Struthio camelus: one gene and its partners. The protein of the gene in region 1 interacts with the protein of each later gene in a pairwise test. Links are inferred from orthologs where the notes say so. Each region holds a gene or a part of one and is shown in the gene's direction. Other genes may lie near its edges. The genes, in order: SDCBP, NECAB2, FTH1 and KCTD6.

Region 1 (7,077 bases):
CTCGAAAAGATGCATTAAGAGCATATTCAAGTTAAATGCCTTAATATTAATATTAATATTTTGGGAAATATGTTTATATTAATAATATGTTTAATATTTTATATTAAATATTGTTATAATATTAATATTTTGGGAAATATGTTAATATTTTGGGAAACACAGTAGAAAAAATATTAATAATTGCTTGCACAGCAGTCAGACATTGGAGTGTTACTCAGAAGACTGTGACAACATTAATATTGCCATCTTTACAGCGGAGTTTGAATAGCAGGCAGGAAATCAGGTACGGAACTGCAAATTGAACACTGGAAAATTGTACATTCACTGAGCACCATCCATTCCACGGGCTGATGAGAAGAGAGTGGAAATAATATGTTCTACTGTATTAAAAAGACTAGATCTTTGACGCATGAACAGGGAGTCAGAAACAAAGTGACTCAGGCAATTTTAATTCTGTTAGTTTCTAATGTTAAATGTTTGACTTGGGTGAAGCTCTTTTAACGTAATTTATTCTGTATGACAGGTTTTTTTTCGCTCTGGAATTCTTTTTTCTACGCGCAAACTCCAAAAATTCTTCACAAATTCTAGAAGTGTCTCAGTGCCCAGTGCAATGCAGCACCAGGGAGCTACTTAAAAGGGCTCAGAGCTGCTTTGTTCGAGAAACACAAACAGTACGTTAGGATTTTCTTTGCACACAGCTGAGAGCAGGATCAGTTAACTCACTCCAACACACTCTAATTAGAGGCAAAGAACCTCTTTAATACAGTTATTCCACTCCTAGTACTGCCAGGGTGCTCTCTTGCACAGTTTGTACATGTTTTGAGTGACCATTTATAACATCTCATTGTTGCAGGGGTGGAGAGCTTCCTAAGGAACACAAGCACAATTTACTTCCAGCTTCAAAGGAGAAATGTGAATTTTGGAGTGATTAGCATGTATTATTTTATTAAGAGTTTTGCAGCTGCTAACACTGATACTGATCTGGTGGTTTCTATTATTTTTTGAAAGTTGGCATACGACTAGTAAAAAAAATAACAGCATACTGACAATTGGAAAATTACCACGTAATTGCCCATGGGTGTTCTAATGTCAGTGAGTAAAATCTGATAACTTTGCCATTTGTTCCACTTCTCTCAAACAATAGGTAATCTTGGAATGCTTTCTGCAAATACTTCAGGAACTAATCGAGAGCTGCTTGTGTAAGTGTTTTAGCTCCGATTCTTTAGAGCTCCCCAATCGCCACAGAGTTCATAGAAAGGCACAACCACGCCCTTCTGCTGCCAACGTCTTAATTCTGGAGCACGAAAGTGTTTTCTTTGTCCCAGATTTTGAGTTCACCTCACAAAGAGATTGAGGAACATGCCATCCCCTTCCGTGTCTCAGCTTCCCTGGGAAGGAAACTCAGACTTTTTGGACAGTGGGACCCTTTGGTCTCTGCATTCAAAGAATCAAGACCCTGACACATGTCAAATGGTGCATTCGCTGCACAGATTAGACAGAGCCTTTTCCTAATAATTATATTTGTGTTTTGCTGTGTTTCATTTCTATATTTAAATGAACAATGATTTTAAGAATGTTTTTCAGTATAACAAGGTTAATCTTTCTCAGTTCAAAACTGTAGTAGTCTCTATTCAAGACTGTAGTAGTCTTAAGCAAGGCTGCATCTTCATAGCATTCTTCTTTAAAACCTTGAGTAAGTTGGGTTTCACGATATGTTCGGAGATGAAGGTAATGAAATTCACTTCCATTACCATACGGAGCTACTGGCCTGTGATCGGTCTTTGCTTATTTTTATATTGTGTGTTTTTAATAGTGCACACAAACTAAGCCCAACAAATAACAGACTGTATGGAGTCCAGTGTTTCGGCTAGAACCTCATTATAAATAAAATATAAATGTTATATATATTTATTCTTATATATATTTATTCATAAATATATTTGAGATATAGATAATATGTTATATAAAATTACATAGAATATATATTATATATATTATAAATAAATAAACATATAAACATAAAATATATATAAAAGCATGTTCTATTACAGCCTCTTGGGTAAAATCAAGACATGTGCATTGACAACGCAGGTCTGACATCTACAGACAAATGCTGCTACCTTGATAGTGAATGTCTCAAAAGATCATGACAAGGGATAAAGTAATGCAGCAAAAGGCAAATAAAAACCTAGCTTTCTGGAGAAAGGAGCAGTGCCTCTGGAACAAGAAGGGCATTCGAAGTCAAAATGAAATAAGATGTTGCCCCTCAGCTGTCAGCACCAATGTTCAGCAGGGTTGCGCCATGTGGACAATGCACAGTCGTGTTAAGTGCTTCAGTCAATCACACGTCTGCTATTTCCATGCTTTACGGACACTACCATGCTCTTGATGACCACCACTACCCAGGCTGGGCACAGGGCTTCACCCCCACCGAGCTCACCGTGGGATGAAAAGCTACACTCTCATTCTGAGCATACACACTTTTAAGTCTTTCATTTATATTAAAAATCATTTTTGACTACAGAGAAAATTTAGCACTACAAAAGCAATAATTATCTGTCCCTATTAAGCCAGAGCTAGATTCCCTCCCTCTCTCTCTCCCTGCCCAAAAGGTACCTAACAGAATTTTTGTGAACTCATACTGTAGGCCCGAAATTGCACTTATAAATATATCTAGTGATCTGTAGTTGCATGACTCAGTAGTCAAAGGTTAAGGTACTTAGGAAGGTGGCAGACCTGGCTAATAATTCGATATAAAACCAGAAACCTTCTGAGTGGTTGGACAGAGGCTGTATCTCCAAATTCAGCGCTGCTGTGACTGCTGCCAGAACACGATGCAGCCCTGTGATGCTCACCAAAGATGCTGACAACGGGAGAGATCCAAAAAGCTTAGGAGGGCTGAAAAATATGTATTATAACAAAATCTGTTTAAATACAGTTGTAATTTCCTAGGCAGTGGAAAATGACGTAACAGCTTGCTGCTGTTTAAAAGAGAGGGACCTTCCCTTTCCTTCCTCTTCCTCCTCTTTTCTCCTGTTTCCAGCAACACCCTCCCTTCCCCTGCCCTGGCACCAGAGCTTGTGGGATCCTTTCGTTGCCAGCTTAGCTCACTAGCCCAGAGGAAAAACATTCACGTCTTTCGGGGATTCAATTTCTGCTGCATCAGTGAGTTGAACTGCCCTGCAAAAGCACTGGGCAGTGGTTGGAAGTGGCTCGGGGTCAGTTGGGAGCTGCAGGACAGGGGAAAGAGCCTGGAAGCCAGAGCAAGAGCTGCTTCCTCAGGGCCAGCGTACGGTCCGACCAGCTCCCCGAACCCTGCCGTTTCCTACCCCAGGGGAAACTCTGGGGTGATCAGAATAGTTCCCGCCATGCGGAACAAACTTTTTGACCACAGGTAGTCTTGCAAAGAAGGATCTAGAAGACTGCCAATTGATGCTGGAGAAGTTAACGCTACAAATAAGGTAAAAGCGCAATAACTACAGTAGTCAAGTATAAGAGCCACTCTCCTAGTTTGTAGTGGAATTTTCCTGTAACTAGTGTATTTTAAATCGTGATTTCTCTAGGGTGTTCCCCTAAGAGACGTGCCTTGTCTCCCGGTCGGAGAAGGCCGAGGTAGGGTGCTAAGCCGCACCTGAGGCGACGAGAGCGCAGGGCCCTCTGCACCGCTGAAAGCTGTAAATATACAAAGAGGAGGAAAAAAAGTAAAAAAAAAAAAAAAAGCAAGGACTAACCCCAAACAATCAGTAATGATATAAAGCATATAGAATACATTTTATTTAAAAAAAAAGGGGGGGGGGGGAATTGATAGGAAAGGCGGCAGCCCGAGCCCGTCTCTCGGGGCAGCCCCGCAGTCCAGCCGCGACCCGGCCGCCCTGACCCGCGTCAGCGTCAGCGGCCGCTGCCCCCCGGCTCCGCCCGGCCCGGCCCGGCCGCCCGCTGCCCCCGGGCTCCGCCCGGCCCCGCCCTGCCGCCGTGTCATGGGCTCCCGCCGCCGGAGCATGCGCGGTGCCGGCCCAGTTTTTCCACCGCCCCCTCGCCCCTCATAGCGGCGACGCCGGGATCTGCTGCTCTTGCCACCGCCGCCGCTCTCCCTCCGTGCGTTGAGGTCCCTCCGCGAACGGCCTGGGTTGAGGTAAGAGGAGGGGGCTGTCGGCCTGCGACCGCCACCGGACTTCTTCCCCCTCTCCCCACCCCGGTTGCCCTGTGTGTGCGGGGCCCGGGGCGGCGCCGTTTCGCCTCGGCTCGGCCCGGCCGGCCGCGGGGGCGGGTGGGGGCTCGCGGCGGCGGCGGCAGCAGCGCTAACGGCTCCCGCCGGAGGCGAAGCGGCGCCGCCGGCACCATGGCGACGCCGTGGAGGGGCTGGGCGGGGGGCAGCGCGGCCGCCTCGGACCACCGGCGCCGCCGGGGAGAGTCGGCTCTGCCGAGAGCCGAGAAGCGATTTCGTTTTTCCGCCTGTGGAAGCGGCGCGTCCCTTCCCCTCTCCCCTCCCCTCGCCACCTCAGCGGCGGGGCGCCGCCGCACCGCCATGTCGCGCCGCGGCCGGGGCGGCCTCCGCCGCGGCCCGGCTCGGAGGGAGCCGCCGCCGCCTGTTGCTGCGCCGCCGCCGCGTTAGAAGCGCCCCCGCTCGTCCTGCCGGCGCTGAAAGCCAAGAGCGAACCGGCTGCGTGTGTGCTGGCCCGCTCTGGCTTCGGGCGGCCTGTGAATCAGGCTCCAGGGGTGGTTTTGATTCTTTGTTACGAGCCAGGCTCGTTTTTGGGGGGTGGTTTCTGGCTCCTCGTTCAGGCTCCTTGTAAGACCTTTCTCTCTCCGCTAGCTCCAGTGCGTTCGTGGGAAGGTTTGTAGGTGCTTGTAACGCCTTCTTTTTAGACCGATTTAGTATTGTTTTGGGGGTGGAATGGATGTCTTTCTGGGGAGCCTTTCTTCGGGTTGGAAGTGGAGGCAGCAGATTTTGGGGCTAAGTGCAAAATGAGAGCCACTGCTCTAAAGCTAATCAGACATGTATCAGAAGGGGGGGAAAAACAAACAAACCTCGGTTGTTCGTGGAGAACATGTCTTGCAAGACAATCTGCCCTATTCCTGATGTACTCTGCCTGACCTTCAGGCTGTTTTGTCCTGTCTCTCCTTTAAAGATGAATTTATAGTTCATTGGTTTCTAGCTATTCTGGAAGTCAAAGCCAGTGCTTAATAGAGGTACCAGTTTTACAGCCTGCAGTAATTTCTCCATATACCATAGTCATAAAACACATAAAATGCCTCCTTCTCCCCGTGGGCCCCCCCCCCCCCCTTTCCCCCAAGTCCTGCTGGCTGCTGCTCCTTTCAGAGATGGCAGTTGCTACATGCTGGTCAGCCTCAAAGTTCGGTTCTTAAACTGCATTTAGCTTTGTCATTTCAGACCTGGAAAATGCGTCTGAAAGCCTGTCTGCTTCCAGCTATGCCACTTTGTTGTGTTAGAGATTACTTCTGCCTCTAAAACTTCCTGCTGATAGCGTAAGGATATCACGAGTGCTGTATTTCCATGGGTTCCTCAGGCCGGTGATTGGTTACTCTCCTTTAGTAAATAAGACCTACTTAGTCAGAAGTGCTTACTGCTGCGTAGCAGCATTTCCAAGCCAAAGATGCACAGAAAAGTGGAGAAGGCTTTGCGGAAGAGTTTTGTGGGATTGCTAGCTGAATTAAGACTCCATCCTTTCTGCTCCACTCTTTTCTGTTTTCACTTCTGCTTTTCTACGCTTTCTAGGTTACTACGTGTGTTCTTTACAAGATTTAGGAGTGTATGAATGATCAAAGCAAATGATTCTATAGATCAAGGCAAATAACTGTAGATTTTTGAGAGGAAAGGAAGCTAATGACTCCTTTTTTGTGGTAGCTCCCTTTGCTAGCTTCTGTCTAAGGCTGTTTCAGGGTCTGTTTAAACTCTTATTTATACTGTGGATAACATGAGGTACAAGTCATAGACAGATTGTTCCCAAGATTACTGGTGGTCTCTTATGGTGAAAATGGCTATCAAATGGTTACATTCTAAACTAAATACACTGTTTTTTGTCGTCTTAAATACGTATGTGACCTGTAATTAGCTAAAGGAAGTTAAGTGTTAAAACTGCTGGTGCAGAAATGGAAAATACTCCTTTTTGACATAAAAGCAACAAAGATACATACTCACTAAATGTAATTACAGTGGTGACAGTTATTCTAGCTATTTATTTAGAAACTCACTTATAGTAACCATTAAGATTATAGCCAGGAAGCTAAGAGCAGCTCCTCAGTAATGTTGACGAATGCTTGTATTTTGCGAACTTCCAGCAGAGGAGACAAGGTGGCCTATATGACTGTAAAACAGCAGGATAAACTCCTGGAATATTTTCTTAAATGATCAGAGAACAAATGCAGGTTTAGCTTTGGTAGTGCTCTCCTACAGGAAGTACCACGCTCCTCTTGGTAAATTAGAAAAAGATATGGCCCTCTGTGACAAACATGACCAGGAATCGCAGTGTGGAGTGAAAGTGGCACGTGGAGGAAAAATTAAAGCTGATGGAGGAGGAGATGTAACTAGATTGTGGAAACTGGGACCACAACTCAACAGACCTTGTGCTGTTCTCTGCCTAGCATATGAAGTCGTTAGCTCACTCTGAGCAGAACTCTTTCCCTTCCCTTCCCTCATCACCCTAAAGCAGGGTGACTTTGCCATCCGTGGGGAGCAAGCCTTCGCAGTGCCAGGGACTATGCTAATTTTGAAAGACTGTGTCAGTGCTTGAACCTGTAGTTTAAATTTGCTAGCACAGATGTAGCTTAGAAGTAATTGTGTGTCTGGTGTTGTGGATGGTTTTAGAGATAGCGGCAGCAGAATGCCAAGTCTGGAGGACTGCTTACCCGAGTGACGGTTTCATTGGACTTGGGCTTGCACTTGCTGTTATCTGTTTTGGATGAGTCAAAACAAGTGACCGTTTCATGTCAACGCTGGCTTAAAACAGAATTAAAAAAAAAAAAAAAACAAAACCAAAAAACAGTTTAAAGCGAGTGCTTAATTTATAGTTGAGACCTGGAAGCTCTTTGTGTTTGGTTTAGTTTCAACAGTTTGAC
Region 2 (7,995 bases), on another chromosome or scaffold:
GGACATAAGACCTTATTCTCACTTACCTTAAGGTCTTTCATTCTGCCCCAGTGAGCTGTAATGCAGCTCATGGTCTTTTAAGGATTAGCCCTGCCCTCTGCCCCGGCCCAGGTTAGGGCTGGCTCTGCTCGGAGCGCGTGGCTGGAGGGCATCGCTTTCCGGCTAGTGTCTGCTTCTCAGGAGCAACAGGAATATTGGGCTAAATTATTGCAGAAGAAAGGCAAGCCCCTGCGTGGCACGAGAGTACAGCAAATGCCAGTGCAAGCGTGAAACTATCTGACACCCCTGCGTCATGTACAGGAGTAGAGTGACCAGGGATCAAGCCTGTGGAGCCAAAAGTCAGGCGTGAGGAAGGAAATGCCAGAAATTCCTCCCTGTAGTGAGGGATGAAGGCTTTTGTCATGGCTGGGGTGCCACAAGACAAGTTGAAAAATCCATACTGCTCCTCCACTGGAGGCTGCAAACAGCCTCTTGGGGCGTTTCGCTCCGAACAGCAGCTGGCACAGACCAGAGCAGGAAAGAGTAGGCGATACTAAAACTGAATATCAGCAAAAAGAGGGAGGCACCACTTTTGCTCTCTTGGGCGCAGACGGTTCTTGCAGCCCCATCCTCTTCTGCGTGGACCTGTTCACAGTGGCGCTGGCTCTTGGCGTGCTGGAAGCCCAGCTCCGGCCAGCGCAGTGCCGTGGGCTGGACTAACTCTGCCAACGCAGCAGCTCCGAAACCCCACGTGCTGCTTAACAGACAGCCCTGGGGTCTCCAGGGCTGCTCTTCCCAAGGGCTTACCCTCACTTATCAAGCCCGTAAGGCTGCTGCATATTTATACACATGAGCAAATGCCTTGAGCTACCTGAAGCTTCTTGTTAGCAGGTGCTGGGGAAGCTGAGCCTCAGCTGCCCGACTGCAAGAAGAGATGAGCTGTTGTCTTTCACGGTGGGAGGAAATTACTTCAGAAGTGACTTGTGATGGGCACCAGCAACGGAAGAAATGCCTTTCCCTCTCCCCTTTTGCTTCAAAGCAGCTTGATAGTGCTCCTTTCAACCCATTTGCAGACACCGTTTTTCCATCAAAATGGTGCAAATTAACCGTTTTACGTTGCAGTAACACACGAGGACACATGAGGTCACTTACAAGCAGGCAACAATTTATTTAGGTGCAATAACTCAGCTGGTTGTTTAAGCACGCTCACGTGCACACTCAGGCTCCCGTAACTGTAAAACCCTGCGGGCTGCAGTTCCTTATTTCTGCACTTTTCATACTATCACGTACGATCCGACACGAGGCGCACCGAGCGTGAGAAACCGAGGGCAGTTTCAGAAGATCATCAGAAGCGGACTCGCTTACGCCGTGGCTCCTTAACACTTCTGACCCGGGTCGCGCGTTGAAGGGGAGCAACGTTTCCGTGGGTTTATCGAGGAACGGTCCCTTAAATAAGAGGGATTAGAGTTATCTCTTCTCTAGGACGGCCCAAGCGCAAGCCCTATCAAGCCGGCTGCCTGTAACTTTAAGTAAGGGTGTAGGGGTTTCGGTGTGAAGTGCTCCTTTCCTCAATTGCCAGGACAACCCAGCTGTGTAACATCATCCCCTTAACTCCCCCTGCCATAAAGTCACTCATCAGCTGTGGTGCTGCAGTGGAGAGGTTCATCCCTGGAGGTGTCTTCTTGCTAGTGACCCACTTGTCTGCTGCTGCTTGTTTGTGATGTTGTTCCCCTGCTTCCCTGCACCTTGCGCTAGCCCCAAAGCAACCACATGGTCTGTTTTTTTCAAAGTTTCTGCTAAATGGTGGTGGCTGTCACTGGGTGGCCCCGGTGGGGGCTTGGGGCTGCCCTGCAGCCCTGCTCTAGCTCTGTGTGGGGGGCACTTGGTGGGATCTTAATTTTTTTTCTTCTCCCCCCCCCCCCCCATACTACTCTGGAAAACCTTCCTGGAGCTGTGGGGAAATTGGGGGGGGTAGGAGCAGTAGGATCTGCTACAGGTGCAGGAACCGTGCTTTATTGTGTGCTTGGTGCAGAGCGTTTCTGTTGGCGAAGCTGGGGCAGCACCGCTGCTGCGCTGTGCTCAGCCTCCCGCTGATGTCCCCACCTCTGGGGGGTGCACCCAGCCCTTTGGGGTCAGAACGGCTGCCGTCAGCCTGTCGCGGGAAGGGATGTTTGTGCAAAAGAGAGTTTAGCGGGGGCTTTTTGCTCACCGGCTTAACCTTGGTTGGAGCACGGCTCTAGTTGAGTTTAAGGTCAAAATGCATCTTAAGGCAAGAGTTGGCCCAGCGCTGTGATGCTGACGCTACATGAAGAGGTGCGTTTGAAGCTTTATACGTGCTCCTGTCCCTGCCTTTAAGACAGCACCTGGGTTGGAAATCTGTGACTCCGGGGCCCGCGGCGCCTCCCTACAGGTCCCAGCCCAAGGACGCGCTGCTGCGGCTCCGGGCTCTGCCGCTGCCACGAAAGCCCGCGGTGAGGGCCAGCGGCACGGTGTGCTTTGCAAAGGACGTCGTCGTGTGTTTTTAGAGGTGGGCATACATGTTGTGCACGTGCACGATCGCGCCACGTCTCTTCCTTCAGTTTGGACCAGTGCGTTCGGTGGGCGCTGCTGACAGCCTGGCGTTTTTGAGCCGAGGTGTAAAATTTGTTATAAAATCCCTGCTGATTACTTGTTGCATTACAGCAAAGAGCCTTGGCATAAACTAATGCAGGGGCTGAAACAGCCTTTCAGCCTCTGGGCTGGCCCCTGCCCGGGAGGGTGAGGTTGCGCTGCCCCGTTCTTGCCCGTCTCGCCGTTTCCTCTCCCTGCGACTGAACAGCTGGGTTCAACTCACTCTGTTGGTCGTTAGTAAATATTAGTAAGTCCCATCTGACATTTTGTGCTAAGTGGGACTGCAGGCCCTGCCTGCTGGAGGTTTTTAATTAAATGAAGCTCCCCGCTGCGTGCGTGTTTGGGGTGGCGGTGGTGAGAAGCGTGATTCAAAAGGGAGATGAAAGTGGCTTTCTCTGCCCGCCGGGTGGTGATGCTGGTGGGTCTTCTGATCTGGCTTGGACCTTTCTTCTTACGAAAGCTATCGGGTTCTTTAGGTGGCCTGTTATTTGAAATGGCAGCATGTGATTAGGGTTTCCAGAAGCTGCTGGAAAGCATTGGCTGTAGCACCCAGATAAGCGTTACCTTAGGGCGCGTAGACCAAACGGTGATGGTGGTGACACACCGGGAAACCAAGAAAACTTCTAGCTGCAAATGCTGTGTACTGAGCACCAGGTGCACCTCAGAGGAAAGGTTTTGCTGGGCCCACGGCGGATGTGGAACGGGAAAGGCAATAGCCTTTTCGGGGGAGTTCTTGGAGGTTCTTGAACTTGGAACTGGGAATGAGGGAGGATAGGTCTAACTTTGCCAATCCTGTACTGACGAGCCTTTAACTAGTGATAAAGCTGCAGCAAACTGGAGCCACACGTGTGCCAGGTTAGCGCAGCAAGGGGAGGTGGATGGTTAAATGTCAAGGAGGAGAAAACTACAGCCGGTGCCTTGAAACGGCTTTTCTGTTGCAGTTTGCCGTTACTGCTGTCAGCCAGGATTTGAGTTCCCCACTAGCAAAGCGGCATGGAAAACCAAACGCCGCTAGGGCTCTAGACTGCTCTCAGCTCTCGTGCTGGTACTACATGTCCTGTGGCCTTGCCCTTGGCTGCAGAAGCTTAGTCAGTGCTGCAGGAATGGGGAGAAAGTATTACAGCCCTGGCCAGAGCTCTGGAGCTGGCAGGGTAACGCAGACCCGTAACGGTACGGCCAGCGAGGCTTGGAAATGAGCTCTCAGCATCTCGCTGGCTCTACTGGGAGCTACTGAGAGTATTTAAATGAGGTAGAGCTGTTTTTCATATTAGTAAGAAATAATTTTGACAACACCGAAGTAGCTCCAAACTTCCAAGCTGCATAACGAATTTTCATAGCACGTGGAAAGTTCACAGAAGAACCTCACTTATAAATTTAGTCAGTAAATTGTCCTAAGTAACTTAAGCATAGAGCAATCCTAGCCTGTGTGTGAATCATAGTCTGAATTAGCCATTTAGCAGAGGGACGTCTAAAGGGGAAAGAAGCATATGAATAGTCTGAGGATTAAGTGCCAAAAAGAGTGGAGTAATTCGGGACATGAGGGGGCACAATCTGGTATATACCTTCTAACAAGTCATTTGTTGCTGGCTTTCTCTCTTAGGCCGTGGTGGATCAGGCCTTTCGGAGCAACGATGCCGTACCTCTTGGGAGACGGGGCGCGGAGCTCGGTGCGGGAAACTGCCGATGGTGTTTCCCGGAGGAGCGCCGGGCTCGCTGGCCCCCCTGCTCGCAGGGGCCCCGGGAGCAGCCCGGAGAGGGTCTGGCGAGCGTGCTGCGTTTGTGCCTGGCACGGGCCAGCTTCACCTGGCAAACAGGTTTCAAGCGCTGCATTAATGTGCTATAAAAGAGGTCACTGGATTCAGCTGTAATGCTCGCTTGCACTCTTAATAGCAACTGAACAAGAAATTGGAGAGCTCTCCAAACCAAGCCAGCCCCATTCCCCCCCCCCTTTTTTTTTTTTAATTTATATTTTTTGCAGCAGGCTCTCAGTTTTGAAGCTTCGGGGCATTTTTGGATCTAAACCCGAAGCAGGCACCCCGTCTGCGGGTGCAGGGTGGGGGGGGGGGGGGGCACACACAGAGCACGTGAAACGATTTCATCCATCCCCCCCCCCCCAAAAAAAAAAAAAAAAAACCAACCCGTCCTTGGGGCACGCCTAGAGGGGGCCCAGGAGTGCCCCGGGGGTGCCCGCCCGCCGCCCGCCGTCGGGGCGGCGTGGCCAAGAGGAGGAGGCGGAGGAGGAGGAGGAGGAGGAGGGGGGGGGGGAGTCCCCGGCTCCGGCATGAGGCCGGGCTGAGCGATGTGCGAGCAGGCAGCGCGCTACTGCCGGGCCGGCGTGCACAGGCTGCTGCGCAAGGCGCCGCCGCCGCCGCGCGGGCTCGACGGGCTGCTCCGCTGGGTCGCCGCCAAGATGAGCGACAAGGGCGCCGAGCGCCAGCTGCCGCAGCCGGCCGCCGCGCAGAGGAAGGGCACCTCGGTCATCCTCGATGTGAGTGAGCCCCGCGCCGGCTGCGCCGAGGCGGGCGGCCGCCCGGGTCCTGCGTGTCCCGTCCCCCGCCCCGCTCCGGGCCGGCTGCGGATGGGGGTGCTTCCCAGGTGCTGCTGGCCGGGCGTGGGGCTTCCCCCCGTGCTGCGTCCCGCTGGCGGTGCACCTCGGGTGCTGCGTCGCGTAGGGGTGCGCCCTCCCCGAGCCCTCCATCCCCCCAGACAGGCTGGAGATGGAGGTGCGCTCCGAGCCCTGCATCCCGTTTTCCAGGTCCTGCGTGTCCGCGGACCGGCTAGGCACGGGGCGGGGGGGGGGGGGGGGTGCACACTGGTCCTGCCCCCACCTGGTGTTGCTCAGGCAGCCTGGGAATGGGGATGCACCCTGGGTCTTGTTCCTGCACCCTCCCCTCGCTGGTCTTACACGCCGGGATCCCCCGGGCTGGCTGGGCACCACGGTGCACCCGGGTCCTGCATTGCCTCCGGTCCTGCACCCCACAGCAGCTGGCTGTGGGAGCGCACCCAGATCTAGGACCCCGGCCCCCTGGGGGGGCTGCGGCTCTGGGGACCGTGTCGGGGGAGGCAGGCAACGCAGTCCCGGATGCCTGTGAACGCATCAGATTGGGGGATCCCTTACTCGGGTTTGGGGGACGGGCGGGGGTGCACTTGGTTCCTCAGCTGTGGTTATTCATAGACCTCTCAAATCAGGGGGCTAACGAGGCTATTTGTCCTTACGTGGAATTAGGAGAATGGGCTGGGATAAACCGGAGTGCACATGATGCAATTCCATAGTCTTTCTGTCAGTAGCATCTAATAGTTAAACATGCACATCCTCCGTTTTGCAATCTTCTAGCTTAAAAAAAAAAAAAGCGATGTAGTGAATTCAAAAATAAGCTACTGATGGTGTTGGTTGTAGTAAAGGATAACTCGCACTCTCTTCCTCCTGCTCGAGCATTAGGCAACAGTATCTCTTGCAGGCAAACCCTTGCGTTTTCTAAACAGCCTGCTGAAGTGTGGCACTTTCTGTGGTTGGCATTGGCAGAGATGGGCTGGGGAGTCCAAAACTCACAGTCCTGGACTCACAGGCGTTACGGTGCGTCAGATGAACTGGTCTGGCTGCGTCTTATCGAGCTGCCAAAAGCAGCTTGGAGAGCAGAGCGACCCTTGGGTGGCCGTGCCCTGCGCAACGGGACCGGCAGGCAGGCTGCTGCGGGCAGTAAAGAAATGGTGCTTGATGGAGCAACGAAAAAGACAAAAGTAACGATTGCACTTATGGTTTTTAAGTTAACTTTGCTCTTTCTTTGGGTTTTTGTTTTCCCCTGCGTTTTCATGTAGTCTAACAGCAGCCTGCCCTAAGATTGCTGGTGTCTGTCTTGAGAGCATAAATACAATTGGAAGTCAACAATTTGGCTCATTCAAAAACTTTGTGAGTTAGGGTTGTTCTTTCTACCAGGACAGTATCTTATCTGCTCAACTTTACCTTCTTTAAAAGGATTTTTTTTTTCCTTCTTTGAGGTTTGAGCTAAGAAAATGAACAGCGAACTTTCAGAATTTTCTTCCCCATTGGGAAATGCAATGGATCTGGGTGTGCAGCTCCCGACCCTTTTCCCCTTCTACGATGGGACTTAGAGCCCTTTCCGACCTGCTGAAAGTAGAAATAGATGTTGGAAATGTGAGGTTTGGGGTTTCTTTCCCCTGAAAACTTGCTTCTCTCTTCTTCCTTTCTTCTCTCTAGTTATAATAGAAAATCTAAGCCACGGCTTTATTATACCGGGCTCTTCATGTGCACTATGAGACCAGCCTTTAATGCAAAGAATTTATCAGCGGGGGGGAGCGTGCATTTAGGTGAACTTTCACGCATTAACAGGAAGGTATCGAGACTCGCGTTCTCACCCCTGAGGATTCAAGCGCATTTTCCCGTCCAACTCCTTCAGGTCCTTTAGGTGGAGGGACCGCACTGTGCGTGGTGTCAGCCTTGATCGGGGCGCCCTGGGACAGGAGCGCGGTGCGGACACGGAGCAGGGAAAGGGGGAGAGGCAGAGCCTGACTGACGGGTTGGTAGCAGGTCTCCTACCCTGCGCTCTCCCACCAGCGGAGCAAACCGGTGGCTGTTGTGTAGCAAAACCGAGGGCTGAGGAAGAGTGAAACGGGACCGGGAGTTAGACGGTGTCTACCATCCACGTGCATGCTGCTGCCTGGAGGATGAAACTGAGCTTAAGGCTATTTTTTTCAGTGTTTTTCTTCTTTGTGCTTGTGTCCTTTTAGGTAAAGGATTAGAAAAAGAGGAAAAAACTGAGTAATGTTTATTAGCGCAGCTCAATCATGGGATTCGGTGTGTAAAAACAGCTGAAATTGCAGACTAACTTTTTGAAACCTCAAGTAATAAACTGATGGAGAAGACACCTAAGTACTAAGCACTCCCTAAAATAGGCAGCAAGTAAAGTTATTGGGGGTTATAGCTGGTGGCGGTAGGGCAAGCAGCGGTGGGGGGTGTTTCCCTCTGGCAATCTTGACAACGTCAGTCTGCGTTTCCGGAGCAGCTGTTGCAGTGTCGGGCAAAACGCCTGAAGGGCTTGGGGCTGAGCGAGGGATGCGCGTGCCTCCTGTGTCTCCGGCTTCGTCAGCGGCGATACAGCGTCTCGTGGCTATCGCTTGCCGTCTTTGTTTTACAAGCCCCTTAGAAAAGCGGTACTATCCGTTTCCGGTCAGATGCACCTTTGTGTTTGATCTGCTTTGTCCTTTGCTGAGAAAGTCCGATCGTGACCCGGGAGCATCTCTTCCCTCCTCCAGCAGGGCCCGAAGGGTCGTTCCCTAGCTGGCTCCCCTGCCCGTGGCTCGCCTCGCGGCTGGCCTTACCTGGCCAGCCGTGACTTACGCTGCTTCCGCCCCACGGGGTCGAGTGAGATGCTTGGACGGAAGATGTGA
Region 3 (7,129 bases), on another chromosome or scaffold:
TTGCTGACTGGGTTGGGACCAAAGTTTGTGTTGCTTTCTGCTCAGTTTTTAGGTCTGTGGTCGTTCTAGCCACCACGGTCTAAATTAACGTGGACGAAGAAAGCATTTTAAAGCAAGAGAGGAAGTTCCAGTTAAAAGCAGCGTTTGAGACAGCTGCTAGTACATAATGTTTCCTAAAGCAATGGTGATGCAGTAACTCAATTGGAGCAGGACTGAGACCACGCTTGGACTTTCAGAAAATTTTTGTGCCCTTGCCACTTCCTGGGGACGGCTGCTGTGCAGAAGATGAGCTGAGAGCGCTCATCCCGACTATATCAGCACAAATCTGGCTTCCATTTTTACAAGTTCAGAGTTTGCTTTCTGCAAATGTTGTCCAGCATCTGTTTAAAAATCATGTTTTCAGCCCACAGTCAGACCACTGCCAGAATTTGGATAGGTCATGTACGAGGAGGGCCCAGGTAGAGTCAGGATGAATTACATCTAAAGTAGATTTAGCAGTCACGGAAACTTTCCCTTTTTCACAGCTTTTCCTAGGTCTTACCCTGTGCAAAGTCTGTGCCACCTTCAAGTGCTCTTGCTGCATGGTGCTATGCACAGCTCTGTCTGCCCAAGTACGTATCGTGTCCTCTTCAGAAACGACCCTGAGCTCCCAAACTAACAGCCGGTTACTCTCGGCCCCTGTCTGGGGCTCTCGCTCTTTCTGCTACCGCAACACCCAGTGCTGAGAGGTGTGTGCAAACAGAGCCTTGGTGGTTTTTTTCTGCATCTAGGTATATCCTGAGCAATGTCAACCAGTTCTCGGACTTAATAATCTCCTGTATGTCTATGCAAACATTCATCAGAGAAGCTGAGGTTATTTTGCACACTTAAAATGATCTCTCCAGCTGTCATGTGAGGAAGCTAAGCGTTACTGTCCCTGAAATGCCTAGTGTTCAGGTCTGTGCTCTACACGTAATAGCTGAGCTGTAAACAAGGGAGCTGGCTCCATTGTTTCTGATGGGATCTCGGCCAAAGGAAAACAGAGATCGCCTTCAACAATTTGGAGCCCCTGTAGGCGGACAATGCGTTGACTTTTGCCTGTGGGCAGCACGAAGCATGCCTCTACTCCAGCCCGACCGAGCAGCAGCGCCAGCCTCTAGAAGCAGCTGAGAGTGGACATGAATTCAAAGTAAGGCTGCGGGTGCAGACTGCTGAGAGGATAGATCAGGCCCTGCGCAGCTGCGACGTTTGTGTGGGAAAGCGTACTGAAAGAACTAGTTGGGACTACCAGTCTCTTTTTTCCTGTATACACTGAGATCTTTAATCTTTTGGATTTGAACGAGAAAAGCCAGGATCCCCCACTAATTCTGAACAGTTTAATGAATAACGCTCAGGGGTTGTAATTAACTAGTAGCTACCGAAAGTAGTAGGGGACGAGACTAGGGTGCAAAACATTGTCAGATGTAGGGAATGATCTTGCAGTTGCAGAACGTGAATGTTATTTGATGTGAGGTCCAGCCTGACTACGATGATGCTTCTAGCAGGCTTCTTCCGAGGAACGCTCATAAATACATCCTTCAGGTAGAAAGGCTCAACCCAAGCCATAGTAGAACAGTATGGAACAAAGTCCAAGTTAAACACAATGTGACAGTAGTTTGGGGGAAGTCAACAAGTGAACAATCATCAGAAAAGGTCCTTGTCAAAGCTAACGCTAAAGTCTCGTAGGACCAGACGCTCTTCATGTTGGTCACCAAGCTATTATGAGGCATGGCCGTACCACCCGACGTGTCCTGTTCTGGCCAGGCGTGCTTTGCGTCGTTGAAGACAGCGTGTATGTTTGTGCAGTGCAATCGATCCAGAAAGCAGAACGTAGGACATTCCTCGTCTTCCTGACGTTTAGCCATGGCTGGCGCTGACTGTCCAAATGACAGAGGAAACGTTCCTTTTATTGATGGACTGCTCGCTCAACCGCTTATAAACTGTGCTGTTGCACAGCCTTTCATAAAACAGCGTAGTGAGGATTTATGTGGGCTTGACCATGACGAGATTGAAAAAACCAAACAGCAATAGCTTGCAATTTGTAAGCCACCAGGCAACTTCCTTCTGAGAGTTCCCGTGCGCCTTTGTCAATCACAGACAAAAAAGTTAAGTGGGAAGCAAACACAAACATAATTTAATTAAGAAATGGTTTAGTGCTTTACAGTTTCAGTATTAGTCTTGCTAGAATACTGAAACATACTTTTTCAATGAACTGCCAGTACAGAGGCCTGCCTGAGATCTGCCCAGCAGTTACTTCTTTTTTTTTTTTTTTTTAAATTTTATTTACATAAGCTTCTAGTTGGGAGGGGAACATAAGATTTCAAGTGAGAAGTACCCGGCAGCCTGCCAAAGCAATAGGTATAATCCACCTTAAGTTATATATCTAATTGCTTTTGATGCTTAACTGACAGAAGCAACGAAAACCAGTAAAGCAGAGGAAGACATGGGCTGCCTGTTTCCTTAGGACATTCAGGAACGCCTCTAAAACTGCCTTTGTGCTGACACAGGTCCCGCGCAGCTCTTCCCACGCAAGCGCACCCCTGTGCAGTCGCCCGTGGGAAATCACGCGTCACCGGGAAGAGCTGTTCAAAGACTGAATAAACATGGAAAGAACTGGTTAGAAGAAGAAATGGCATTTAATTATTGACAGTCCAGTGAGTAGTGTTGCCAATACCTGGGCTATTTCTGCTGAATTTCAACATCAGCTGTTGTTGTTAGTAAAGACCGAAGTTTTGGCAGCCCAGTGTTATCTCAATTTCCCTTTAAGTGGGCCATCTCTAGCCCTCCACGTTGCACTTACAATCAAGAGCCTGCTTGAATCTAGGAAATTCTGGAAAAAAAAAAATCTCAGAAACTAAAAGAACCCAGTGTTTATTGAAAATAAATGACCGCACAAACTGAATGATCATGGTAATACTGAAAGGAGCTAAAATAATGATCCTATTATCAGGTGGCTCAGTGTGTTCCTTTTGACCTTTGATTTCTCAGTTGCCTCTTTATTATTTGGCATTGTGTTTTAACTGGCTGTAGGCTCCTCTCCCAGGTCTCACCCTCATGCAAATCAAGCATCTGAGGGCCGATGCTTGGCCTGCTTCCTCCTCCTCCAAAAAAAAATAAAAATAAAAAAAAAACCCACTCAGCAATGATTGCTGCGGGTGCCCGTTGATAACTTTGAACCACCTTGAAGGGTGATGGCATCTTTCACCAGTATTTGTTCTTTCTTCCGTTGGGTTGGCTCGTTAAGGCTAACCAAGGACTTTGCCCTTTACCTAATGGTTTCTTACGTTCCTTCGGAGCAGTTTTAGGCCGCTGTCCAAAGTAGGGCACGGTCACCGAAGAAAGAAGTCTGGAAACTTCTCAGGTCTAGCCATTGACTCGCCTTCTGTTTTACTGCTGTGACAAGCCTAAGCTGCCCGCTGCCATTGACAACCAGCTGGACTTTATAATAAAATCTTTTCCAGTACAAATTACCACCTTCAGAATAAGCTGGGTGGGGGGGGCGGGAGGGAAGGAACCCGCCATAAACTGACTTCTTTCCTTCCAGCCCATTTTTGTTCCCCTCCATGCCGGCGTGTATTTATGTACCCAGTGAAAAGTTGTCCTCAGCCTTTCGGTTTTGAGCGAGCTTTCCACCTCCATTTCGGCAGTCACCCTGTCCCAGGGAGGGGAACGACGCGGTAACACCCGTGAGGTGGGACAGCCCGTCCTGCCTGGCGGTTTAGGCCACGGAGCCAAAAATAGCACCGGGACCGCAGCGTTTTGGGCCTTTCACGGGTTTCGGGGGGCCGAGGTGACGCTACTGAGGGGCGACCCTCGGCCTGCGCCCCCCCCCCTACTGCCGGGAGCCCGCCCTGAGGGAAACCGCCACCCCCCTCCCCCCCCCCGCCACAGGGCGGGCGGCCCACAGGGCTGTCGCCCCCCGCGGCCGTTGCACGACCGTTGCCCGAGCCGCGAGGCAGCGGGCCCCGCCCACCGCGGCGCGAGGTGGTGGGGGGAGGGCGGGGAGGGGAGGGGAGCAGGGGAGGTGCTGAGTCACGCCGGGCCAGCAGAACGGCGGCGCGCGGAGGGAGAGGGGCGGGGCTGCGGCGGGGGGCGGGGCGTCTTAGTGCCGCCCCTGCCTCCCCCAGCTCCTGGGGGCGCGTGCGTCGCGGCGCGAGGGGGGGGCGGGGCCTGGCGCGCGAGATGACGCGCGCGGGCGCTATAAAAGGGGGGCGCGGGGGGCAGCGGCGGTTCAGACGCGCCGGCGAGGCTTGAGCGGAGCGGGTTCCTGCGTCAACAGTGCTTGGACGGAACCGGCCGCGCCATGGCTACGCCCCCTTCCCAAGTGCGCCAGAACTACCACCAGGACTGCGAGGCGGCCATCAACCGCCAGATCAACCTGGAGCTCTACGCCTCCTACGTGTACCTCAGCATGGTGAGCGGCGGGGCAGGGGGCTGAGGGCCGGCCCGGCGGGGGCCCTCTGTGAGAGGAAGGGGGGAGGGGCCCTGCGAGAGGGGTTGGGCCCGCCCGTGGCCTTCGGGCCTGCCGGGTGTGGGGCCTCCCCCGAGGATGGGAGCGGGGGTGGGGGGGGAAGGCCGTTGCGTGCGGGATCCCCGCTCCGTGCGATACCCGCCGTGGGCCAGGCGTTGCGCCCCTTTTTTTGTCCGGGGGAGGCCGAGCCGGGCCCGGCCAGCGTTGGGTGCCCGCCGCCGTGGCGGGTGTGTGGTGATGTCGCACCCTCCTGCGGCAAGAGGCGGTGGCCGAGGCGGGGGGTGGTGGGGGGGGAAATCTCCGTGGCCGCCCGCCCGAGTGGGGGGGTCGCGGTGCGCCGGGCGGCGCTTCCCCGGGGCGTGCCCCGGCGCTCTGGGGGCCGGCTGGCTGCCTGCGCGTGTGGTGCGTTGTTTGGGGTGTGTGTGGTTTTTTTTTGGTGCCCTTATCTCTGCGGCGAGCTTCGGTTGCGCGTTAACCGCTCTCTGTTGGTCGCCCTTGGCTGACCTGTTATCAGCACAGGTCAGCCGCTGCCAAGCGGCTCTGCCCTTGGGGCTGGGCTGGATAGCGAGGGCTGCCTAACGAAGAGATTGGCACCTGTCCCACAGGCGCCCTCCTCCGAGGCACGGTTTTGCATTCGTAGTTTTGGAGTGAATTAGTAGGAAGCCATGGTTTCCTTGGAGCTGTACTTGCATGTCTCACTTGGTGCGAGACTCCAGTTTTAGCCATAGCTGAGAGAAATAACTTTGAGTCCAAACAGCAGCTCTGACCTCTGTGCAGCAATCTCGAGTCACCTGCTCATCTAAAGCACTGACACTTCCTAGTGATGCTGCAGCATGTTAGGGCATTCAGGTGAATAACTTCCCTGCTTGCTTGGTTCTGTGTTACTGTGAAGGTCAGACCCTCAGCTGCAAGCTGAATGTAACTGTGTTGGTGGGTGATAGTGGTACACAGGCACCAGTGTCTCTCCCTGAAGCTCCTACGCCGCTGGTCTAATGGTGGTGAATTCTGTGGCAGTTAGTCTTGTAAATAACTGGCAGCTGATACAAAGCTTTCCATTGAATCCTGCCCAATGGCTTTGACCAAAAAAAAACAAACAAGCTGTGTGGTGGCTTCTGACTGCTGGTACAGATGCTTTTTGACTTGAAGATTTGTCTGGTATTTGCTGTTTAACTCTGGCGAAATACATGTTCAACTATCTTTTCAAAGTGCTGCTAGCTTTCTTCAGAAGTAAAAAGGGAATTTCTCAGTCTGTTGCCTCATAAGCCCGATGAGGCATGGGAACCTTATCCCAGAAGTATCTTAAAGGCCACCTTTAGCTTGTGTTGAAGAATCCTAACTCTGACTCATGGTCACTGTTGAACACAAACAAAGGGAGCAGGGGGAATCTCTCCTTGTAGAAGAGGAACTTGGTAGCGCTACACTTAATTTGCTGTGTTGAGGCATTTGAATGGTGCTCAGAACAGGCATCTTTGGTCCCCTTCTGAATATACTTAAGAAAAGTTTGTCTCCATTTCCTCAGTAAGCAAGTTTTGCCGCAGTCCCTTGCTGTCATCACACTGCTGCTACCTTTAGTTTGGACTCCAGCCATCTTGATAAAGGGCTGGTAGGAGGCATATCTGAAACTGCAGTACTGACTTGGGCTTGTGTGGCTGCTGTAGTGAGGGTTTGGTTTTTTAGCATGTGAATTTTTCTTTTCAGTCCTACTATTTTGACCGTGATGATGTGGCTCTAAAGAACTTCGCTAAGTACTTTCTGCACCAGTCCCATGAGGAACGTGAGCATGCTGAGAAACTGATGAAGCTGCAAAATCAGAGAGGCGGGCGCATCTTCTTGCAGGACATCAAGGTGAGAGAAATAGAGCTGTGGGTGTTTCAGGACTGTAGCACAGAGCTAGACTTGAGGTCTGTCTTCAGGCTGGAAGGAGAGGAATCCCCCAGAGGATCCTCTTGCTGGAAAACACTAACAGTAACTAAGAATACTGAATTGCTGGGATTGGTGTGCAGTGTTTGAGCTGCTCAAAATCTAGAGATGCTAAACAAAAAAAGGGGCTTTCCTGTAAGAAGAGGTGCATACACCTAACCCTGCAGCAGTTTGCCCCCCCCCCCCCCCGGGGGGGGAGGGAGGAGCAGGGAAGAAGGAAGGGGGAAGGTAACTGTAACACACTACTTGCCTTGTTCTTGCCAATGACTTCAAGATAGGGCCTTCTCGGTTCACTAGACTGTTGTGTAGAGACAATGCTCTTTACTTCATGTTCCCATGGCAAGAGAGTCATATTAAGCTTCCAGTTTCTTGCTATGGCTTATTGCAAGACTTCATGGCACTGTTTCCTTGAAGTCACTTTAATTAGATTATTTAGAACAGCAGAAAGTAATGTTATATTGTTATGCAAGACTTAACTCTTCGTGGGGAAAATGGCAGAGTGAGTTGACAGACGTTTTCAGCAGAATCCTTTTGCTAGAAGTGAGTATTTGTAAAGACCAGACTTCCCTGTTCTGGTGTATAACCTGCTTTATTTCTGAGATTGTACCCATTGCCTACCTAGGTAGGTTGATGTTTAGGCTGTTAGCTTTTGATGGGAGGAGGAGGGCAGTAGTTCTGACTTAACTACAGGAGTTCACTAAACTGAATTTGAGGAGATTT
Region 4 (7,077 bases), on another chromosome or scaffold:
TAAACAATTTCCTTCTTATAGTTTTAAGATTTCAGAGCTAGCAGTTCCTGCTCGCTTGTCTTCATGCGCTAAGATTTAGATGCAAAGTTACTATCCCGCTTACTACACAGTCAGATTCTTAGGATAAGAATTATTCACAGCTGCTCTTCCATAGGCAAGATCCAGAGCAGCAGCAGACCAGCTTCTACCCTGTGACCATCTCTACAATGAGATGGCTAAGCTCCAGCTCCTCAGATAAAAGACCCCAACTTGACCTTATCTCATTATCTGCTCTTGGCTTTATCAAGCAGTTTATGAAAAAGTCATCAGGATTTAGACTTACAAATTAGATCAACAGGGATGTTGCAAAATTAAGTACCTTCCATGATCCTGGCACAGATTTCAGCTCCTACTCCAAACTGCGGCCAACCTCCTTCTACAGTTACAAGATGGTTTGTCTTTACAACGCTGGCTTCTATTGCTTCAATATCCATTGGTCGAATGCTACGCAGATTTATAACCTTAAAAGAAAGGGACTGAATCAGTTTTGCTATGATCTAAGCCTGTCAGTTACTACTGTTGGGTACCACGTCCTTTGTCACGTTCAGCTATTCTGACTTTGAGGATCAGACTTAAAAGTCAACAAAATTACAAACTTTTTATCCCAGCAGACTTTTTATGGAACTGTTTGTGATGGTTCCTGGAAAATCCCAGATAGATGAGTCTTGCTATATCTAGATCCAGCCATGCTGATTTATATAGTGTACTGTTCAGTGGACCTAGCTGTATGATAATAAGCAGAAGAGCTTTAAACATTAATTTTGTGATTAAAAGGTCAAATGCAGAAACACGAAACATGCTTGGTTCACTGATTATGAAGGCATTTACCAATGGGCCTGAACAAGACACGCTGCTTTTTTTCCAGTCCATGGAAAGGGGAAAGCAACAAAAAAATCCCTACACACCTCGCACTCTACACCTTCTTTGGCGAGTACAGCAGCGGCTTCCAAACAGTGTCCAACAGGTCTCGAGTGTGACACTAAAGTAACGTGAGTTCCTAGAACAGAAACGAGAGAGAGAGACTTAAACTTTTCCTCTAGCCCCCGTGCTCTTTTTAAGGTAATGTTAGGATTCTCTGGTAAATTTAAGTATTTAGCACTTAAAATAAATATAAGGAATTCTACAGCCACAGCGTGAAAAATGGCAGTGGAAGGACTATGTCAAGACACAAACTACACCCCTGAATTCAGGGACCTGAAGAGAGATCGAATATACTTCTTAGATTATTCCTTTTAAACCTTCAAGTAATTCAGTGTTAAATTATGAACAAGCTGAAAACCTACAGTGCTTTCCCTTGCATTTTTAGAAAAAAAACCCCAACAACTACTTTCTCAAGTGGAGAAAGAAGTTTTCCAGGCATTACCTAATCCATCCTTATAGAGAAAGGAAGTCTTTTGAAAGCAGGACAGCGGGACAAAGAATATCAAGTGATCTTACTTTATAAAGAGAACAGAAAAATACAGAGCCCATAGGATAAAATAACATTTAGCATTTGAAGTGTATTCCTGTTCCCTGTGAAAGTAGTGTTTTAAGTCGGTAAAAGTTTAAAAAAAAAAAAAATCTCCCCAAGCAGTTCAGTTAGTAAGAATATATTAACTGTGTTCTCAGCTTACCTTGCCTTTCTATTTTGGCTTTTCCAATTGGAACAACAAAATCCTTTGACTGTGCCTCTTCTGACAATTCAAAGGGAACACCATACAGCAGTTCATTCTCCAGCATCACAACTAGAACAAAACTTACTTGGATTATTTTGTAGTTCTACAGCACAGGCCTATACTGAGGATAATAGCACTAGAGCAGACTACCTCAACTAGGAGCTGAATATGTTTGTAGGGGGAGAAAAAAATCCCAGTTTTGACTTCACTACTGAATTATTTTAAATTTTAAATTAATTGATTAGAATTGGTCTTAAGCAGGACTGAGCATTTAGCTTGTGGTGCATAATGGTAATAGGTCTTAATACAAAATTTAAGGTCCTTAGAATTATTCTAAAAAAATCATGAGGATTGTGAATTAGGCAAACTAGGTTGATAAAGCTAACTGACGTACAAAGCCTCTGTTTTTTAAAAAAGATAATATTGTAAAGTTTATAGAACTGAATGTACAACTCCAACTAGATCAAATGAAAATGGGAGGGGTCATGGTCTAGAGACTGTTTTTGCAGAATTGCTAGTTTTAGAAAGGTCTTAGATTTTGCATGCATGCTTACGAGGAAGGAAAACTGAGGCTGCCCTGCTCTCAGAAAATGGCATGATATTCATAACATCTGAATTTCAAGATCTGTAAAAATGAGTTACGTACTCAGACACTATATATGCAGAACTCCTCCCTGACTGATTTTTATCCTCTTAAATTCCTTTATGACAGATTCCTAAATGTTTCTTCCCAGATTGGTACCGAATTAGGATTAAAGCACTAGCACAAAATTACAGTCTACTACTAGCAAGCCACATGATTCAGGAAAGTGTCAAGTATCAGAATCGATTCCTCTGTGCCTTTGCAAGTTACCTTAGAGTAAAGCAGTCCTAAGTGTTTTAGGGTTTTAAACTTTTTTTCTTTTTTTTTAAATGGGATGTGAGGGGAAACATGAAGAGACATTTTTTAAAAAAACTAATGCTAGCTGTTGCCATGATCTGAGTGTATTCACCTGGATTATCATCCCGGATTGATGCTTTAAGCAGACCTTTCGCATCTTCTGAGCTCCATGGACTAACAACTTTCAGTCCTGGACAGTGCCCATACCAAGCAGCAAAGCACTGCGAGTGCTGAGCAGCGACCCCAGCTGATGCCCCGTTGGGGCCCCTGAAGACGATGGGCACAGAGATCGATCCTGCAGACATGTAACAGGTCTTGGCAGCAGAGTTTATGACCTGATCAATTGCTTGCATGGAGAAGTTGAAAGTCATGAATTCACACACTGGCCTCAACCCAGCCTATTAAAGTCAGGATATATATTAGTGCCTTTTTACATAAAAAGAGCTTGTTTTAAAGAGTTTAATTCAGGAGTAAAGAAACTTAAATGTACAAACCATAGCAGCACCAACAGCAATTCCTGTGAAGCCCATCTTAAACAGAAAGAAACCAAGGGTAAGCCTTTGGGAGCAGCAGGCAGAAGGGCGAGCAGGGTAAGTGACAGGCGAAGCCGTACCTCCGATATCGGCGTGTCGATTATCCTCTTGTCCCCATACTTCTTCCAGAGGCCTCGGGAGATCTGCAGAGAGAGAGGAGAGAAGTCAGGGCCCGCAGGAGGGCCTCTCCCCGCCTCTTAGCTGCGGCCGCTCACCTTGTAAGCGCCATCGTACTGCGCCACCTCCTCGCCGAGCAGGAACACCCGCTCGTCCCGCTCCAGCTCCTCGTCCAGCGCCTGGTTCAGCGCGTCTCGCACCGTCACCTGCGGCACACGCACCCTAGCACAGCGGGGGCACCGCCCGCACCCCGGGGGGGGGTCACCCCTTCCTCCCCCTCCTCCTCCTCCTCCTCCTCCTCCCCGCCTCCCGCCGCCCCCCTCCCCGTACCTGCATGGCGGCCGGCGCCGAGAGCCGGATCCCCCTGCGCAGCTGCAGCAGCCGCCCGGCGGCGGGACCCTGCGGAGACAAGGGGGACGGTGAGAGCTGAGCGGCGGGCAAGGCGCGGCGGGGGCTGGGCCCGGCCCTACCTGCCGCCCGCCCGGCACCAGCCGCCGCAGCGCCCCCGCCGCCGCCGCCGCCATCTTGCCCGTGTCCTCTAGCGCCGAGGGGAGGGGGGGGGCAGGCCCGCGCGCCGCCAGTGACGTCGAGGCCCCGCCCCCTCGGCGCCCCGGCAACCGCCGCGCCCGCCCCGCGCTCTCGCGAGAACAGGGGCGCACCGCCCCTTCCGCTCCCCCGCGGCCGCCCGGCCCGTTGGGGCCAACCGCCGGCCCACCCTGCGTTTACGGGGCGGCGCAAGGGTCAAACTTGTGCGCGGGGGGGGGGGGCCGCCGGGACGGCTCCTGGCCCCACCGCCCCCTCCCTCGACCCGCCCCCTCCCTCCGCCCTGCCCCGAGCCGAAGCGCTCTGAGCGCTTTTACCCTCTCGCCCCACCGCCCCGCGGCCCCCGCTTGTGCCCAAGCTGCTTTCGCCCGCTTGCCCCAGCCGGGGGGCGGGGCCGCGAGAGGCGAGGGCGGGGCTTGCGGCGAGCCCCGCCCCTCCGCCCCGCCTCGCCCGCGGCGGCGGCTCAACTCCGGGCTCAACTCAGTCGTCCTCTCCCTGCCGCTGCCGCTGCCGCCGCCGCCGCCGGGCTCCGCCTCAGCGCTGGCAGCTGCGCCCGTGAGTGCCGCGCCGGCCGCCTGGGTCCTCGGGGGGGGGGGGCAGGACGCCTGGGCCCCGGGGCGGTGGGGCAGGCGCTGAGCGGGCTGTGGGCCCGGCTGGGGCAGGGGCCCGCCGTGCCGTCGGCCGGGGGGGGGGCCGGGGGCCGGGCCGCGGCCCGGCGGGAAGGAGGAAAGGCTGGGGCGGAAGGCGAGGAGCGCGGGTCTGTGTCTGGCGGCTGCTGTGCTGAATCACCCTCGTGTCGGCGGCAGTTTCGCTGCCGCAGTCTCGCCGTGATGGAAGGTGGCACTTCCCAGGCTCCTCCTGTGCAGGCCCGGGCCCCTCTCAGGGAGGGAGGGAGGGAGGTGCCACCATCCTGCCCTGGCTGCTGGGGCCCCGCGCTTGGTCCGGCCCTGGTGCGCAGGGGAGCTCTGCCTCTCCGACAGCTGCCCTGCCCCGGGGCCGTTTGGAGCCGCGGCCCCCCGAGCAAGCACCTGCGAGTGGATGTTCCACGGAAGCAGAAGCACACGGCTGCACCCCGCCCCGTTGTGGCGGGCGGCGAGGAGCGCGCTGGCGCGGCGGGTTTCAGCAGCGCGGGGCCGGCAGGGACGGGCCCGATACGGGTCTCTTCTCTTGGCCCTCGTCGTGAGGTGAGGGCGAAGCGGTGGCGTGGCGTGGGCTTTTCAAGGAACGAGCGGTTACGAGGAAAGTTTGGGAGCTGGACCTGAAACAGGATGTTGTGGAGCTCCTCAGCGGAGGGAAGAAAACTTTGGGAGCTTGGAGTTTGTAGTGAAGCAATTAGACATAAGGCAATGAAATGCCGAGTGGCTAGCGCGAGCGTTTTATTCTTCTGCCTGAGTTGAGGTGTAAGTATACTAAAAAGAAACTAAGGAAAAACAAGATTACATTAGTTTATAATGAACTGCCTTAGTCATTATAAGTTTGATGTGTTTAGAAGGCGATGGGTGCCTCCTTGAGTGAAGCAAATCTGTTGAATTACCAGAGCAGTTGGTAACTTGTTTTAAGACAACATGTCCTCCTCGCTCTTTCTCGGCTAAGGCAGTGTGGTGCTGTATCATCATGGTCTCGCTCTATAGACTGTGGTCTCACTGCACGGTTTTGTGGAGTAGAGTCATTGCTTGTTCTAGTTTAGTTTTTGTCAGTTCACGTGTCTCTGTGATAAGAGATTTACCGTAAAAACTCTCCTGTCAAACTCTGTAACTGGATCAGGAGCAGGGAGATTGTTCACAGATGTAACGTAACTGTGCTCAGAGCTGGAGTTCTGGTTCTCATCCTTGGAGATCTAAATGTCAGAGACAAGGATCTCACTGAGTGGGTGTGAGTAGCTTCAAAGACTGAGTATGTTTATCTGTACAAGTACAGAGCTAGCTTTGCTCCTTTTAATTTTTTAAGTTGCTGTTTGTGCAATTCCTGTCAACTTTGTCTCGACCTAGAAATCGAAGATGCCTACTGAGGTTAAACAGTTTGTCCTACAACACTGGTACCAAATCGTCCATTGAAGACTAGAACTAAAAGCGAGTCTTTTAATTCCTTTGTTAGAAAACCTGGATGAAAAACATTTAGAGCAGACCAGGTGGTGCCTGCCTCTTGACTTCTAAGCATTAGGTATATTTCTACTCCTCCTCCATGTAACTGCATGTGATAAAAATGCTGTCATTTTCTCCAGGAGCAGTGTGATAACCTATTCCCTTGACCCAATGCAGTATACACAGTGCTAGCAGCAAAAAGGCTTGGCGATGCCGCTGGCTTCCCCTGGGTCTGAGTTGGACCCACGTGTGTGTTTTCACAGATGCAGACCTTCAGCTGACTCTCACTTGCTTTTTCTGAATCTCAGCCTGCAAAATGGTTGCATGCTAGTAGCTGTCTTCATGGGAGAAGCCTTAATCAAGTTAATGGGACTACTGTTGCAGTAATGTTGCTAGTAAATAGCCTTGTAATCCTCTGAGTCATAAAATATTAAATAAGACTGAGAGTTCTATAAATGCAGGTCCCCCATTCAGTATATTGAGCATGACACGATGACTTGAGGGCTTTTCATCAAAGGCGCTTGCCTCTCGTTGTTACTTTCTAGTTTTGGATGCGCTCAATGCTGCGATAAAATGAGATGACCGTATTAACACTGTCTTATCTTCTCCTCACCCCCTAAAAGAGCTTAAGGAAAGTAGGACTGTGGTTTGACTCAGTCAGTGCACTTCTGCTCTCACCAAAGAGCAATATTCTGTTTGGCTTATATGGTGTCAGCAGTTTACCTGGCTAAATTTCATCTCAAATGAATATTTCTTATGATTATTAAACACAGGCTGTGTTGGGATACGCGTGCGTCTCGTCTCTTCTTTGCTGTCTGGACGCAGGCTGGCCTCCTTAGATCATCTGTTTGCGTTGTGCGTCTCGCTGCGATGCTAGCTTTGCCAGGTACGTCTGTGCGTGTCTAGTGATTCTGGACTCTTATACAAAGATCAATGAGGCTTCTAGATGCCACTTATTTATTGAAGGCTGGGGTTGTTTCAGCTAATTGTTCTCATAAATTATTTGCTCCAGTGTTATGCAGTGATGCTGTGATCAAACATTAGCTCCTGTCTTCATACTGACAGGCAGATGTAATTTGTTTCTTTTCCTGAATGATAACTGATAAAGAACGTCTTGACTGATCTGTACTGGGGACTCAGATGCTGGCCAAAATAGCACAGTATTCATCCAATCATTTAAATAACTCTGATGGATATCCGTCTTTCAAATACTCTGAATGTAATTTCTA

The links.
Region 2: the proteins of SDCBP (region 1) and NECAB2 interact in binary tests that used the Homo sapiens proteins (3 or more experiments, as listed by UniProt). The two-hybrid records come from large-scale screens. The link is inferred for Struthio camelus from reciprocal best matches to the Homo sapiens genes SDCBP and NECAB2.
Region 3: the proteins of SDCBP (region 1) and FTH1 interact in a two-hybrid assay, tested with the Homo sapiens proteins (2 studies listed by BioGRID and IntAct). The two-hybrid records come from large-scale screens. The link is inferred for Struthio camelus from reciprocal best matches to the Homo sapiens genes SDCBP and FTH1.
Region 4: the proteins of SDCBP (region 1) and KCTD6 interact in binary tests that used the Homo sapiens proteins (3 or more experiments, as listed by UniProt). The two-hybrid records come from large-scale screens. The link is inferred for Struthio camelus from reciprocal best matches to the Homo sapiens genes SDCBP and KCTD6.

Annotation. Positions count from the first base shown.
Region 1 is NC_090943.1:135,811,633-135,818,709, reverse strand, and holds the start of SDCBP (syntenin-1), read left to right. Parts: upstream 1-3,993; 5' UTR 3,994-4,132; intron 4,133-4,811; exon of another isoform or gene 4,812-4,834; intron 4,835-7,077. UniProt on the Homo sapiens protein: Multifunctional adapter protein involved in diverse array of functions including trafficking of transmembrane proteins, neuro and immunomodulation, exosome biogenesis, and tumorigenesis.
Region 2 is NC_090951.1:21,304,746-21,312,740, forward strand, and holds the start of NECAB2 (N-terminal EF-hand calcium-binding protein 2), read left to right. Parts: upstream 1-4,855; 5' UTR 4,856-4,888; coding exon 4,889-5,077; intron 5,078-7,995. UniProt on the Homo sapiens protein: May act as a signaling scaffold protein that senses intracellular calcium.
Region 3 is NC_090946.1:7,331,777-7,338,905, reverse strand, and holds the start of FTH1 (ferritin heavy chain), read left to right. Parts: upstream 1-4,112; 5' UTR 4,113-4,321; coding exon 4,322-4,432; intron 4,433-6,187; coding exon 6,188-6,334; intron 6,335-7,129. UniProt on the Homo sapiens protein: Stores iron in a soluble, non-toxic, readily available form. Important for iron homeostasis. Has ferroxidase activity. Iron is taken up in the ferrous form and deposited as ferric hydroxides after oxidation. Also plays a role in delivery of iron to cells.
Region 4 is NC_090955.1:10,380,119-10,387,195, forward strand, and holds the start of KCTD6 (BTB/POZ domain-containing protein KCTD6), read left to right. Parts: upstream 1-4,057; 5' UTR 4,058-4,322; intron 4,323-4,474; exon of another isoform or gene 4,475-4,951; intron 4,952-5,861; exon of another isoform or gene 5,862-5,927; intron 5,928-6,621; 5' UTR 6,622-6,734; intron 6,735-6,743; exon of another isoform or gene 6,744-7,077. Other genes in the region: PDHB (pyruvate dehydrogenase E1 component subunit beta, mitochondrial), read right to left, coding at 359-500, 945-1,036, 1,653-1,763, 2,687-2,972, 3,069-3,104, 3,188-3,250, 3,323-3,430, 3,555-3,623 and 1 more. UniProt on the Homo sapiens protein: Probable substrate-specific adapter of a BCR (BTB-CUL3-RBX1) E3 ubiquitin-protein ligase complex mediating the ubiquitination and subsequent proteasomal degradation of target proteins.